Xenopus tropicalis: one gene and its partner. Each later gene encodes a partner of the first gene's protein in a complex. Links are inferred from orthologs where the notes say so. Each region holds a gene or a part of one and is shown in the gene's direction. Other genes may lie near its edges.

Evidence for each region. The genes of interacting proteins can lie anywhere in the genome.
Region 2: the proteins of acvr2b (region 1) and gdf2 are in contact, whole or in part, in a crystal structure (PDB 4FAO), measured with the Homo sapiens proteins. The link is inferred for Xenopus tropicalis from reciprocal best matches to the Homo sapiens genes ACVR2B and GDF2. Residues at the interface, in NP_001097.2 of Homo sapiens: Asn35, Glu39, Cys49, Glu50, Glu52, Lys55, Leu57, Tyr60, Ser62, Arg64, Val73, Lys74, Cys77, Trp78, Leu79, Asp81, Phe82, Asn83, Glu94, Gln98, Val99, Phe101; in NP_057288.1 of Homo sapiens: Arg333, Ile346, Ala347, Pro348, Lys349, Glu350, Tyr351, Glu352, Lys397, Ser399, Pro400, Ile401, Ser402, Val403, Leu404, Lys406, Gly410, Val411, Pro412, Thr413, Leu414, Tyr416, His417.

What each region holds. Positions count from the first base shown.
Region 1 is NC_030682.2:13,794,167-13,797,920, reverse strand, and holds the end of acvr2b (activin receptor type-2B precursor), read left to right. Parts: intron 1-372; coding exon 373-511; intron 512-1,066; coding exon 1,067-1,197; intron 1,198-3,328; coding exon 3,329-3,523; 3' UTR 3,524-3,564; downstream 3,565-3,754. UniProt on the Homo sapiens protein: Transmembrane serine/threonine kinase activin type-2 receptor forming an activin receptor complex with activin type-1 serine/threonine kinase receptors (ACVR1, ACVR1B or ACVR1c).
Region 2 is NC_030683.2:61,308,683-61,312,436, reverse strand, and holds the start of gdf2 (growth/differentiation factor 2), read left to right. Parts: upstream 1-917; 5' UTR 918-1,422; coding exon 1,423-1,738; intron 1,739-2,922; coding exon 2,923-3,754. UniProt on the Homo sapiens protein: Potent circulating inhibitor of angiogenesis. Signals through the type I activin receptor ACVRL1 but not other Alks. Signaling through SMAD1 in endothelial cells requires TGF-beta coreceptor endoglin/ENG.

The sequences.
Region 1 (3,754 bases):
CTGTAGCAATTTTAGGCACTTTTTCCCTGTTGAAAACAGTGGCAAAATGTGGAAATCGCCTTCAGATGGTACCGTACTGATGGCAAGGGGAGGTGCCAAGTTTGGGGTTTTTAAAACAATTTTGATTGGGTGATGCCTGAAATTATGGTTTTCTATATGTTTTTCTGTGCCCTATTCAACTTGATTGGCTGCCCCCGTGGCTACACACAGAGCTGTCGACTCCCCCTATTTAATTGGGAGTTACCCAATTTGGCTCATCTCCCTTAGGGCAAGAACCCACGGAGCGAGCTACTCGCCCATGACAAATATCAGCATATCTGCATTATACTGATACACCCAGTGCTTATACTTTAATAAATGTTCTTTCTCTAGGTTGGCACCAGGAGGTATATGGCCCCTGAGGTTCTGGAGGGAGCAATTAACTTTCAGCGAGATTCCTTTCTCAGGATAGATATGTATGCCATGGGACTGGTGCTCTGGGAAATAGTATCCCGATGTACAGCAGCAGATGGTAAGTCTTTGCTACCATCTTGTGGTGGTAATTATATTATAAGCATTCAACTGTATATAATAACTGTTACCCTGTATGAGCGGCTTTTCAGGTTGAATAGGTTGTGTTCTCTGTAAATAAAATACAACAAAAATGTGTTAGGGGTTTACTTACCCTTTTTTTTTAAGCCTGGACTAAAAGCATAGTTCCTGGAAATGATGTGTAATCTCAGCTTCACGTCTACTATCATTTATAACAATAAGAGTCTAAAGTTTGTGCCGGGTCTAGCAACCCATAGCAACCAATTAGATATTTTCTTTCAAAAAGTTGTACATGTGATTTGCTGGCCAGAGCCTTCAGTCTCAGAGGTAGGTAATTCCACAACTAGTTAGTATGTGGCCTTCCTGAACCAGATCTGAAGGTAAACTCATTTCTGACTTTATTTTCTCATTCGGAAACCTGCTGCACTTTGCAGTTTGACTCTTTTAGATTATGTTGGGAGTAGTAGTTTGAGGATATTTGGAGGGACACATCTTAACCATCGCTGAACTGACTTTAACTCATCCTTGTCTACAGGCCCAGTTGATGAGTACATGCTCCCATTCGAAGAGGAGATTGGGCAACATCCTTCCCTTGAGGACCTGCAGGAAGTTGTGGTTCACAAGAAGATGCGCCCCGTATTTAAAGACCACTGGCTGAAGCACCCAGTAAGGCCTATTGCATATGCTAGAATGCCCATTAGTTTTTATTCGTTGAGCGTATGAGTAAAAATGACCATAGCCACCCAGATTTTGCCCCCCCCATGGTCATCATAATTGGTGTTTATAGAAGTCTTATCGGAAGAGGAATTTATCCAATGGGATTTTCAAACCTGCCCAGTAGATATTTAACCAGTTCCTGGCAGAGAATATTGGTCATGTAGCCTGTCAGATCGCTCAATTCATAAGCCATTAAGCTGTTGAACATGGTCACCGAATATCGGCTTATATATGGGCAGCTTAGTAAAGAAAACTGTACTTTACATTCATGTTGTTCTTATAATTACTCCCCTACATTTGGGGGAAAAAACGACATTTTAGACCAGGGATCCCCAACTTTTTTTTTTTTTACTTGTGAGCCACACTTGGATGTAAAGAAATGTTTGTGAGCCACTCAGGCATGAAAAAAGTTCTTTGGGGATGCCAAATAAGGGCTGTGATTGGCTATTTGGTAGCCTCACGTGTACTTCTGGCCTGCAGAAGGCTTTGCTTAGAGTAAAACTGTGTCTCCGTTAGGGATGCACTGAACCCAGTTTTTTGGGTTCGAGCGAATCCATGTTAAGGGATTTTGCCGAACCCCCGAATCCATGTTAAGGGATTTGGCCGAACCCCCGAATCCATGTTAAGGGATTTGGCCGAACCCCCGAATCCATGTTAAGGGATTTGGCCGAACCCCCGAATCCATGTTAAGGGATTTGGCCGAACCCCCGAATCCATGTTAAGGGATTTGGCCGAACCCCCGAATCCATGTTAAGGGATTTGGCCGAACCCCCGAATCCATGTTAAGGGATTTGGCCGAACCCCTTAATACATGTTAAGGGATTTGGCCGAACCCCCGAATCCATGTTAAGGGATTTGGCCGAACCCCCGAATCCATGTTAAGGGATTTGGCCGAACCCCCGAATCCCTGTTAAGGGATTTGGCCGAACCCCCGAATCCCTGTTAAGGATTTGGCCGAACCCCCGAATCCCTGTTAAGGGATTTGGCCGAACCCCCGAATCCCTGTTAAGGGATTTGGCCGAACCCCCGAATCCCTGTTAAGGGATTTGGCCGAACCCCCGAATCCCTGTTAAGGGATTTGGCCGAACCCCCGAATCCCTGTTAAGGGATTTGGCCGAACCCCAAAAATCCCTGTTAAGGGATTTGGCCGAACCCCAAAAATCCCTGTTAAGGGATTTGGCCGAACCCCAAAAATCCCTGTTAAGGGATTTGGCCGAACCCCCAAATCCCTGTTAAGGGATTTGGCCGAACCCCCAAATCCCTGTTAAGGGATTTGGCCGAACCCCCGAATCCATGTTAAGGGATTTGGGCGAACTCCCGAATCCATGTTAAGGGATTCGGGCGAATACCGAACCAAATCCTAATTAGTAGGGATGGGCAAAATGATTTTGACCACGCGGCAGTAAAATTCGCCACGCGTCACGCAATTTGACGCAAATTGTCGCTTTCTATAATGTGCGCACACACATTAAAACAAAAAATACACATGCGTCATGTAAAGCGACCAAATTGCAAGACACACAGCAAATGTTTTTGCCCATTCCTACTAATTAGGATTAAATGTCGCTGTGCGCAAACCGTGTGGCGAAAAATTTAACACCTCCGCGTTTATGCTGCGTCATTAACCCTTCCAGATTCGGCCGAATCTGAACCCTGCCGAAAAAGGCCAAATCCTGGCTGAATACCAAACCGAATCCTGGATTCGGTGCATCCCTAGTCTCTGTGCTTCCAAAATAGTCTCCAAGCTAGAAATGTAAAAATGGGCACCTACTTATGTCCACTGGGAGCAACATCAAAGGAGGAGGTAAGCTCAAGACACACTGGTTGGGGTTCACTGTTTTAGATCATGATCCACCAGAAATGCCTAAACCACCTGAACCATGGCCACTTCCTATTAAGCCCAACCACTTTTTGGAGTCTGCAAATCAGGCCTGTCCCTTTAAAATCAGGGCAGTGTGGTATATAATCACTGATTTTGCAGGCTGTTCAAAAACTATAATTCATATGTATTAGTGCTTTTGTTTGACCCAGCTTCTTTGAGAAAAATCATCTGACATTTCCAACTTTCTACTTCCAACAGGGTCTGGCCCAACTGTGCGTGACCATTGAGGAATGCTGGGACCACGACGCGGAGGCGCGGCTTTCTGCGGGCTGCGTAGAGGAACGCATTTCCCAAATCCGTAAATCAGTGAACGGCACTACCTCGGACTGCCTTGTATCCATTGTTACATCTGTCACCAATGTGGACTTGCCACCCAAAGAGTCCAGTATCTGAGGTTTCTTTGGTCTTTCCAGACTCAGTGAATTTAAAAAAAACTAGGAAAAAAAAAAACTCACGAATGCAGCTGCTATTTTATCTTGACTTTTTAATATTATTATTATTTTTTTTTTTTTGAATTTTTTTTTTCTTGGATTCTACTTGGATCGGATCAATTTTACCAGCACGTCGTTGTATAGTATTAAAAAAAAAAAACAAAAAACAGAGACATCTCAGCAAGCATTCAGG
Region 2 (3,754 bases), on another chromosome or scaffold:
ATGCTCGGGACCAAGGGTATTCCGGATAAGGGGTCTTTCCGTAATTTGGATCTTCATACCTTAAGTCTACTAAAAAATCAATAAAACATTAATTAAACCCAATAGGATTGTTTTGCATCCAATAAGGATTATTTATATCTTAGTTGGGATCAATTACAAGGTACTGTTTTATTATTACAGAGAAAATGGGAATCAGTTTAAAAATTCTGAATTATTTGATTAAAATGGAGTCTATGGGAGACAGGCTTTCCATAATTCGGAGCTTTCTGGATAACGGGTTTCCGGATAAGGGGTCCGATACCTGTGTGTGTATGTATATATATATATATATATGTATGTATATATGTATGTTTGTGTGTCTCTATACATATACACTGTGTAGAGGGTAGCTCTAATGATTAATATAAACCAGTTTTTCAAGTTGCACCTGAAGCCAAATCTCCATATCTAAGGGTTTTTCTGTGGATGGTGGGACAGTACGTCTGCGAGAAGCCATAAAACTCAGTTACTGAACAATGGGCAAGGTGTGGTTTTTATCAACCCCCATCTGATCAGTTGGTATGTGGGGGCAGTGGCTGAAAGGTGTATAAATGTGGACTGGACAGAGCAACCTGGAAAAAGAACCTGGGGGAAGAACCTGGGAGGAGCACCTGAGGACTGCATCAGAAGTGACCGGGCAGGATGTGAGACAGACGAGAGAGGAGGCCATGGCTAGAGAAAAGGAACCAGACCACAATGTTCTGTGTTTTTTGGTAGCTATATGTAGACTTGATATTAATCTGTATATGTAAATAAAGTAAATATATTTTGTTTTGTTAACTAATCTTTTCATTGTAACAATCCATTGATTTTCTACTCAATATATTCATTTTAATATACACTTATTGGTGTGGGTTATTTGTCTGCTTCTCAAAAGAACCGGAACCCTAGTAAGAGGGGTGATTAATATTATTATTAATATTATATTATTATTATATATAGTTCAAATCTTACATATGTAAGTACATGGTGACAGAGAAAGGCACTGAATATTTTTCCACCAGACTTTTAGAACTAAAACAGACATGGTGTCACATATTTTCTTGGTAAAAAGTTATTCTAAGGGCCCTTGATCTACATCCAAATTTCATAATTACACACTGACCCCTTCAGTGTAGTATTTAAGGTCCCAAAATAATGTTAGCATGTTACATATTTTACATCAACAAAGGAAATTAATGAGATAAGCAAAACTGACACACTGCTATCCAGGCTTAGAGATAAGGAGAAGTGAATGTGTAAGCCTGGTTGTCAAATGACAGGCAAGTGGTTTAAAAAAAATATAAGATAGTGTTTAGTTGACTGCTGCAGTGAATTCTATGCATGGTGCTTGAGGAATCTTATTGAAACCTAGCAGTCTTGCAGTGAAGTCCGTCCACAAACATGAAGTTTATCACACTCTCAGTAGTTCTTTCAATAATTATCATCTTTTTTGACACTGTAACAAACAAATCTCTCCAAGGCTTGGCACCCAGAAACCATCACAGACACTATGAAGAAAAACCAGAAGATATCATGAGCCTGTTTATGGAGAACACAAAGAAGGAGTTTCTGTGGGGATTAAATTTATCCGGTGTTCCGTCTCAGGACAAAATAAAGAAAATGCCCCCACAGTTTATGATTGAGCTTTATAACCGATTTTCAGAGGATAAAACATTAAAGCCTGTGTCAAACATTATCCGGAGTTTTAATGCTGAAGGTAAGGCTCATCTGAATATGTATGTGAGTGATTTTTGGTTGATCCAAAATCTTTGAACCTGAAGTGTAATTAATTAATGTACAGATTTTACAATATCTGCTTCCTGTGTTTGTTTGTGCCACTGTCAAATGCCAAGATTATCCTTAAAACAAGACATCACAGATGCTTTGATTCTCACTGCCCTGAGTAAAACAAAAGGAGTATCTCAGTGACCAGTGATTATGTTTCCATTTATTTCCTTTTTATCTGATAATTTCAAGTTTTTCAAAAGGAAATATTATTTGGTCGTTATTCAAATTTTGCTTATTGACTAAAAAAAATCTCACCTTGTATAAAACACTTTAAAATTGTCACTTTAAAATTGTCTCTCTATAGGCTGCTTAAACAGAGCTGTAGAATAAAGGCTGGTACTGGTTTAATTAAAAATAGGCTTGATAAGGTGGATATAATATGATAAGGATTGCATCTATTCCTCCATTTTGGGAATAAAGGCAATTTTTAGCCATTTGTTTTCACATCAGACCCATGTCCCTCCAGGTTATTTCAGTTTCTAAGCACCCTCTGTGCAGTACAGTGTGCAGTGTTTCAGTTAAGTGGTGACTGTAGTGCCATGATTTGGGTATTCTGTGACTACACTTGATAGTCTTTTACATAGAAACCATTTTGGAAACCTTTTCTGGCAATACTTTGTGCTACTATGTTATTAATATTTAATCTTTATTCATTAATAGCAGTCTATATTTCTAATTGCTAGCTATCTACTATGTTAATTCTACAAATGGCCTTTAATTTAAAAACAATTTTACCCTGTGAACAAACACATGGGCCTCTTAATTGGCTGCCAGAGGCCCATATGCATTCACCATACATGAGTGTAACACTTTGTTCAGTGATTTCCATTTTTTTTTTTACATATAAGCAGACAGTGCTAGGCACTGAAGGACATGCAGCAGTGTAATGATAGGGGAATCAAACTCAGTATCTGCGGGGAGGTTGTTAAGTTCTGACAAGGGTATAGATTGCTAATAGGGCAAATTTACAGGATAGGAATGCCTCTATGCACAAATGATACACAAGTGCATTCAACATATAACTATCCAATTTAACTGCTTACTGCTCATGATGATTATTCTTAGAGTTGTATTACTGCGATCATAAACATGTTTTGTTTTTTTCGCATTTAGACATTCTGTCGTCATCTGCCTTGGAAGACACATTCCAGAGCCACATTGTGTTGTTTAATGTTTCAATACCACAGCATGAGGAGCTGACAGAAGCTGAGCTGAAAATGTATGTATCTCTTGGGAAAAAGTATCATGGACACTTGCTGGTATATGATATCCTTTACACAGAGCCCTTTGAAAATCTTCGATACCCCAAATCATTAATAGAATCAAAAATAATTGAAAGGAGTGGCTGGCTATCAATTAATGTTACCAGGGCAGTCAAAAGATGGATTACATCAAGCAGAATAACAAAAAAACTGGAGATTTTTCTTGGCTCGAACAAACCTCTGAATTCATGCCTTAGATTACAAGATAATCGAAGAGGTGTCAAGATAAACAGTAGCTATCCACCAGTGCTTCTTGTGTTCTCTGATGACAAGTGGAGCAAGCCTCAGAAGACAAAAATGGAAAGAAAGGAAATTATTTTTCATGAGGAGAATATTGGCACACAAACTGTGTCAAAAAAAAATACTGTTAAATATGCAAATAATGGGCATAAAAATTGGAATTTTGGACTGGGTAACGGCAAGATGAGGGTTAAGCGAAGTCAAGCAACTAACTATTGCAGGAAATCCTCATTAAAAGTGAATTTCAAGGATATTGGCTGGGATTCCTGGATAATTTCACCCCCAGAATATGATGCTTATGAATGCAAAGGAGAGTGCTATTATCCTCTTACTGATAACCTAACACCCACAAAGCATGCCATTATTCAGACACTTATGCACTTCAAAAACCCCAAAATAACAAGAAAGGCATGTTGTGTGCCCACCCAATTGGAGCCTATATC